Elephas maximus indicus: one gene and its partner. The protein of the gene in region 2 interacts with the protein of the main gene of each other region in a biochemical or structural test. Links are inferred from orthologs where the notes say so. Each region holds a gene or a part of one and is shown on either strand. Other genes may lie near its edges. The genes, in order: SERPINA5 and PLAU.

Region 1 (3,913 bases), on a different chromosome or scaffold from region 2:
GCCTTCAACACCCTCTGGAATGCAGTTCTGCTCTGACACACACGGTGTCACCGTGAGCGCGCATGAACTCAGCAGCAGCTGGTTTGGTTTGATTATTGCGTACTTACTAGACACTCTGTATCTATGACCATTCAATATGCACGCAAAGTAGGCGTGACTAAGCCCAATTTACAGATGAATACACTGAGGCTCAGAGAAATAGAACAGCTTGTCCCAGCCATTGAGTGATGCACCCCAGATTAAAATCCAGACCCCTCTGTCTCTGGTGCCCACACTCCTCTTGGCTCTGAGGGGTGGCACCTCATTCCTCCTCCCACCCGCTCCTGGTGCCTGCCCCCCAGGCCTCTCCAGAGCTGTTCACCTGCATTAGCTTGTGTACTTTCGTCCACAGCAACTGGAAGCTGGTACCGTGATCACAACTGTGCCAAGATGAAACGGGGAGCAGAGATGGGGCTCAGCCAGGAAGTGGGGTCCCCGGGGCTCCTGTTTCAAGCTTGTTAGTTTCTTAGTCATCACTTCCTGAGCCAGGGGTGGGAGCCTGGGACTAGGACATTGTCCCCCACGGGGTCCCTGCAGAACCTCCCGATCTTAGGTCCCCAAAGTTAGATACAGTTTCTGCAGAAATGCCCCAAGGTGTCAGAGGGATGAGAGCTGGTCAAAGCAAACCAGCCATCAGTCAGTCTGAAGCCAAGGGGCCTGAGGAAGAAGGAGCCGGGGACAGGGGAAGTGGGGGCTGGTGTGGGGAGTCAGTCCTCCTGCTGAGTCCACACAGCCACGCACCCCAAACCCGTTGGCTGATACTCCTAATGTTAGGCAACCAAACCCCAGACAGGCTGACTTAGGACTCTGTGGGAGGCATGCAGCTGAGGAGGGTCTGTTCCGTACCTGTCAAATCCAAACAGGGAGAGGCCAAATTGCACCTTTCCCTGGATTTCAAAGACGGGGGGGACAGAGCTTCACGGGAGAAGTGACCGTAGAAGCTTTCTTAACTTCCCCCTCTACCTCCTATCCATCTGCACGTCTTGTCGATTTCAATCTCCAAGATATGTTTTAAACCTACTGGGGGCACTCCATCTCAGTGAAAGCCCCTTCGTCCTTCGCCTGGACCCTGCAAAGCCTTCCTTCCTGCCCCCACAAACCAGCTTCCTCAGTCAGAAACCTTGTTGTCAGAGCACTCCCTTGGATCTTTGGGGGAAATCTGAGTTTGGTTTGTGTGCCAACCCAAAGGCCCTTCAGGGTCCCCTTTGCCCTGCTCTCTGGCCTCCCCCTGATGGATTCTCCCACTTTCACTTCCTCTAGGCCCACTTCTTCTCTCATTTCCCCAAACCCAATGCCCTCTCCAGCGCTCCGGGCCCTTCATGTCCTACTGTCTCCCCTGGAAACCTGCCCCCACCTCCCCCACCTTTCTCGTCAGAGCATCAGGCCTCAGCTTCAAGGCCCCTTCTTCGTGGTCCCTCTGGAAGCTGGGCCCAGGCCCCTTGGTTGTTTCTCTCAAGAGCCCCATCAATTGTTGTGCGCCATCAAGTCGATTCCGACTCATAGTGGTCCTGTAGGACAGAGTAGAACTGCCCCATAGGGTTTCCTAGGCTGTAATCTTTATGGAAGCAGATTGCCAGGTCTTTTCTCCTGTGGAGCTGCTGGGTGGGTTCAAAATCTTTCATTTAGCAGCTGAGCACTTAACTGTTGGGCCACCAGGGCTCCTTTCCCATCAATTATGCATGCGTCTGGGCTCAATTTCTTTTGTTCTGCTTCTCTCTCCACTAGAATAAGTGCTCACAGCAGGGAGCCCCCCATCTGCTCTGCCCCCAGTCACGGGGAGATGCTCCATGCACCTTTGTGGGATGAATGAGTGAAGGAATGAACCACCCCTGGCCCATCCTTTGTAATTCGGTGTCGGGCCGCAGGCTGGGTGCTGACTAGTGGACCTAGAGCCAGGCTGGGCATCCAGACCCTTGCTCACACCACCAGCCCCGGGGTTAACTTGACCTTGAGTTACTCCCTCCCCTAGCTCAGCCTGTTTCCTGACTCAGGGGAGCAGTTTCTCCTTTTATTGTTGCATTTCTTGCCAAAGGTCCCATCCGTTAAAAACTGAAAACTGCTGATTTCTGTCTACCTTGTGTTTATTTAACAAACTGCCAAATGGTGTCTGGAGTTGGCGGGCAGCTGCTGTGACCCTGAGGGGAGGCCTTATCTCAGGGAAGTGGATTGCATTTTAGAATGTTTCCTGATTTTATGGGTCAAGACCCTTGGCATAGAAAACAATGCAAGCCAAGGTTACTGAGCACCTCCTGCTAGCCCGGCATTTTGTCCCCTCCTCCTCGTCCTCATTTCAGGGTTTCTCAACCTCACACTGTCCACACCTGGGGCTGGATCCCTCTGTCATGGAGGAGGCTGCCATGTGCATTGTAGGATGTTAGCGACGTTCTTGGCCTCTGTCCACTGGATGCCAGTAGCCCCCCCTCCGCCCCCATCTAGTTATGACAACCAAAAATGTTGCAGACATTGTTAAATGTGCCTGGGGTGAGGGGGTGGGTAAAATCACTCCTAGCTGAGAACCACTGCCTTACTTAATCTTCATATCAGGCCAGGCGTATGCAGAGGGTTAACTATTTCCACCTTACTGATGAGGAAACTGAGGCTTGGCCACATTAGTGCCATGCCCAAGGTCACACAGCTAGGGGAGACTCTCCTCCCTGGCTCAGTTCACGTTGCCATGAGGGCCCTTCCCGCTCTCCCTCTATCTGTCAGGGATGCCTCTGCAGCTCTAGCACCCTCCAGGTCCCTTAATCAGAGCCCATTCCTTGTCTCTGCTCCCACGTCCTGGAAGCCCCAGGAGGCCCCTGTCTGCACTCCAGAGTCTGTACTTACTCTGTCCAGTGGCCGAGCGTGGAGACAGTGGAGGTGGCGTCCGTCGGGCTTAGCAAAGGGCAGAGAGCTGGCTGGACTGGAGCCAGAACTTGCCTACGACCTTAGCGGCCAGGACTCCACCCCTCCCGGGCCCCGCCCCAGGCGCCCTGCTCTGTCCTGCAAGGCTTCTAGCCAGCAGGCGGGCTGTGGACAAAGCTGCATGAGGGCCACCCACTCACTGTCCTTCAAGCCCCACACCGGCCTCAGTTTGCCTGTATATGCATGGGCACCCTGGAGAGACGAGGCAGAGTCAGGAAAGGCCACTGTCAGCACACCCCGCTTTTCATTAGACTCAACACGTTTGTTTCTGCAGCCCATCTGCTACAGATCCAAGAAAGGGGAGACTTGAGCCCCAGACTCCACAGGCCTTCTGTGCTGACTTGTCTCGTGGTCCTCAACAGCCAGATGCTGGTGGACCTTAAAGGGATTAGGAGAGCCTCAGGATGGTTGAGTTGAGGGGCCACTGTGTCTGGTCCCCACGTTGCACGAATCACTGAATTGTGGCTCAGAAAGGTGAAGGGACTTCCCAAAGCCGTACATCAATTTAGGGGCAGAGCGGGGCCTTAGTGCCCAGTTCTCTGACATCTATTGTTACCTGCCATCAAGTGGACTAAGAGTCATAGCTACCTTGTGAACAACGGAATGAAATGTTTCCCAGTCCTTCATCATTAGCACGATCACGGGCATGTTTTATTGTGGCACTGAGGCAATCCATCTCATCCAAGGTCGTCCTTGCCATTTCTGACTCCACTTCACCACACATGATGTCCTCCTCCAGTGAGGTGTCCAAAGCAAGTGAGTTGAACAATGTTCTGTAATGACCCATAGGGTTTTTATTGACTAATTATCAGAGCTAAATTGCCAGGCTTTTCTTCCTAGTCTGTCTCAGTCTGGAAGCTCCTCTGAAACCTGTCCACCACGGGTGACCCTGCTGGCATTTGAAATACTGGCGACATAGCTTCCAGCATCGCAGTAACACACAAGCCACCACAGTAGGATAAACTGC
Region 2 (3,913 bases):
CCATGGTTCCACCCTTCAAGGCCGCAAAGGGTTGTGGCCCTACTGTTTGAGACTGCAGCAGCTCTCGTCCTGTGCTACTTGTCTCTTCAGCTTCTGCTTCCTGGTTCCTTGGCCTCTTGGCCCCTCGGGCCTCATGGGCTGGCCTCCTTGGGTAAGTGTTACAAAGCTCTTTATCTCCACCAAGAAGTGCCTAGAGGCACACCACTCCATCAGTTAACTTCAGCCAGGAGGCACTCAGCTCTCTTGCTTTGTGGGTCAGCAAGCCTAGCTCCACCGATAAGTGCCCAGAGGCACCACACTTCACAATGAAGCCTCTTGTCTGAAGGCAATCAGCTTTCTTGCTCCACGGGTTGGCTCCTGCATCATCTTACACTGGTCTCCTGGTTCTGCCACTCCTGTTTCTCTTCTGCTGCTTCTTGCCATCTGTGCCATCTCAGGTGTTACAGTTCTCCTTACTTCCTTCTGAGCCCTCGCCAGAATTGTCTTCGATGTCCATAATTCCACCAATAGTCTCTTCCAGGCAATCCAGGCTTTTACTATTAGCACTTTAAAACTCTTCCATCCTCTACCTATTACTGAATTCCAAAACCACTTCCACATTTTAGGTATCTGTTAGAGGAGCACCCCACTCCTGGTGCCAAATTCTGTCTTACTTATCTAGTACTGCTATAACAGAAATACCACAAATGGATGGCTTAACTAACAGAAGTTAATTCTCTCACAGTTTAGGATGCTAGAAGTCCAAATTCAGGGCATTAACACCCAGAGTCTGGAGGGCAGGGCCATTGCCTAAATGATCTCAGAGAAAAGAAGATTATTTTCAAGACTTGAAAGCTAACATAATGTGTTCTGCTGGGTTTTGGACTTGCTTGGTGCCTGTTATTCCTTCTTTCCCTCCAATGTCTCCCATTTATAAGGAAAATGTCTACATTGTGCCTGTTCCACCATTTTACTTTGAAAGCAGATAACTTGTATTCTAGATTTCACAGATGAAGAGGAATTTTGCAGAAGGTGGGATTTTGGACTTGGAGTTGATTTAAGACCTCTGGGATGATATGGTGGGGTGAGTGTGTTTTACATGTGGCAAAGGCATGAATTTCAGGGGGCCAAAGGGCAGAATGTTATGGATTGAATTGTGTCCCCCTAAAATATGTGTCGACTTGAGTAGGCCATGATTCCCAGTGTTGGGTGATTGTCTTCCATTTTGTGATCTGATATGATTATCCTATGTGTTGTAAATCCTAACCTCTATGATGTTAATGAGGCAGGATTAGAGGCAGTTAAGTCAATGAAGCAGGACTTGATCTACAGGATTAGGTTGTACCTTGAGTCAATCTCTTTTGAAATATAGAAAAGAAAATCAAGCAGAGAGGAGGAGGACCTCATTACTACCAACCAAGAAGAGCCAGGAGCGGAGCTTGTCCTTTGGGCTCAGGGTCCCTGCACTGAGAAGCAACTTGACCATGGAAGATTGATGACAAGAACCTATCCCCAGAGCCAACAGAGAGAAAAAAACCTTCCCCTGGAGCTGGTGCCCTAAATTTGGACTTCTAGCCTCCTAAGCTGTCAGAGTATAAACTAGCTTGTTAAAGTCATCCACTTGTTGTATTCCTGTTATAGCAGCACTAAGTAACTAAGACAGGAGGTCTGAGGTCACGGTTTCATGGGAAATCCCAGTTAATTGGCCTAATAACCTGCTCAGTGCTTCTGTTCTACCTCCTAGTTGGTTGCGTAGTGCCTGGGGTTTTAAAAGTTTGCAAGTTTCCATCCAAGGCACAACAATTGGTATTTATTCTCCTGGAACAACAGAGGAAGAAGGAGAGTAAGGAATAAGAGGAGGGTATAGAATGTCTGGCTAATTGCTCCATGAACCAGAGACCAGAAAATGTGGATGGCACCTGGCTACCATTACTGAGCATTTTGATCAAAGATTCTATAAAAGAATCCTGATCAATAGGAGAAAATGCAGAACAGAATTTTAAATTCTCATGGGCTCTCTCCTTTCCGGAGCCACAGAAGCTGGATAAACCCCTGGAACTATTACCCTGAGTTAATCTTTAAACTTTAAACCAAAAGTATCCCCTGAAATCTTCTTAAAACCAAATAGTTGAGCTTAACTTGTAAAAAAAACTCTGCCTTAAGCATTATGCTCTTTTAAGAACTATGTATATGGGGTCAAATTGACGATAGCAACTTAAAAAATTAAATAGGAGCCTTCAGGGCCAGTGAGTTTATGTTAATGGGGGAAGGGACTACTCAGAAAAAGAGGATGAGAATGATTGCACAACTCAAAGAATGTAACCAATGTCACTGAATTGCACGTGTAGAAACTGTTTAATTGGTGTGTTTTGCTGTGTATATTCTCAACAACAACAACAACAAAATAAATAAAAATTTTTATAAAGATTACAGGCAAGAATACCCCATGGAGAAGTTCTACTTTGTAACACATGGGGTCACCATGAGTCAGAGTCGACTCAAGGGCGACTAATGACAACAACAGCAATGATGAACGCGGCTGTTAGAACAGTAGTTCATACCCTTGGCTCCCTGCTACAAGCCTCCTTGTCCGAATGGGCCTTGACAGCCACCGCTCCCATCAGGGTAAGTCACACGCAGGCCTGTGGGAAGTCTCAGTGCAGAGCCACGCCCAGCAGCCAGGGAGGCACCCCATCAGCCCACACACCAAACTGGTTCTGCAGCCAGAGTGACAAGCCAGGACCTGCTAGCTTCAGGGTCTCAGAAGCAGACCCTTCTGGTACCCAGTCTGCAGCCTTCCCCAGGGCCATGACAGCAGCTACTGTTCCTCAGGATCTTAGCTCAGCTTACCTGGCCTCTGGTGAGGGTGGGTGTGAGGAGCTGGTGGGGGAGCAGTGAGCCGCCTCCGCGAGCACCTCTAGCCAAGCCAGCTTTCTAGGTAGTCATCCAATTTAGCTGCCCGAAGTACTGACAGGAGGCCCTGTCATCCAGTGCTGCATAAAGAAGACAGGCCAGCCCTAGAGGGCAGAGGGCTGCACCTGGCTGGGAAGCCCAGACAGGTCCGTGGCTGACAGGCAATACCTTACACCCTCAAGTCTCTAGTGGTACTTGCAGAGCCTGTGCTATTTTAGGTTTTTTTTTCATCCCTGCAGGCAAACTAGACTGGAGGAGTCTGATTAGAAGGGAAAGAACTGGTTTAACAGAGCTAGGGGTGGGGTTGGGGCATTGCTGCCCTGAATTGGTACCATAGCACCAGGCAGAGAGCCTGTGCCAATGTTTCTGAGGCTCAGGACTGGGTCAGGATTTCGGTACTGGCTTCTGAGTGACTTGTCAGACAAGACAGGCAAACAGAAGGACTTTGAGGTTTAGGGGCCAGCGGCTGTAATTCCTGTCTCAGGAATAATCATGACAATAATGATACCTTGTTACAAACGTGCTTTATAGTTTATAAGGTACCTTCACAGACATTATGTCATTTGATCCTTACTGTGGCCCTAGGGGGCGGGCAGAAGGAGAAGTAACTTTCTCAAGGTCAGAGACTTAAGAAATGACAATGGCAGGGTTTGGTCAATTGCAGAACAGGATTTGGGAGCCTATAACTGCACATCTAAAGGTCTATGCAGGAGGAAGGGGCTGAGAAAATGAGGGAGAACCCTGATCTTCTGATGGGCACTCCAGGAAATGTGGGGCTTCAGGGCCTGTTGGTGGTCTGGCACTGCAGGGCCACCGCAGGGGCTCCAGGCAGCCTCCTCTCTCCTCCTCTCCACCCACCACCCCCTGAGTCAGCTCTCTGGCATTGCCCTGGCATGTCCTGGGCCCCACGCCCAGGCAGTGAGAAGGCCCTGGCAGATTGCCTGGGGAATGCTGCTCTTTTAACTCAAGCCAAGCCCTAGTTAAGACCCCCTTCCCAGAGGCAGCCCAACAATGGCTGCAT

What was found.
Region 1: the proteins of PLAU (region 2) and SERPINA5 form a complex in vitro, tested with the Homo sapiens proteins (2 studies listed by BioGRID). The link is inferred for Elephas maximus indicus from reciprocal best matches to the Homo sapiens genes PLAU and SERPINA5.

Annotation. Positions count from the first base shown.
Region 1 is NC_064828.1:108,117,797-108,121,709, reverse strand, and holds the start of SERPINA5 (plasma serine protease inhibitor), read right to left. Parts: upstream 2,938-3,913; 5' UTR 2,869-2,937; intron 1-2,868. UniProt on the Homo sapiens protein: Heparin-dependent serine protease inhibitor acting in body fluids and secretions. Inactivates serine proteases by binding irreversibly to their serine activation site. Involved in the regulation of intravascular and extravascular proteolytic activities.
Region 2 is NC_064834.1:13,708,554-13,712,466, forward strand, and holds the start of PLAU (urokinase-type plasminogen activator), read right to left. Parts: upstream 2,849-3,913; 5' UTR 2,830-2,848; intron 1-2,829. UniProt on the Homo sapiens protein: Specifically cleaves the zymogen plasminogen to form the active enzyme plasmin.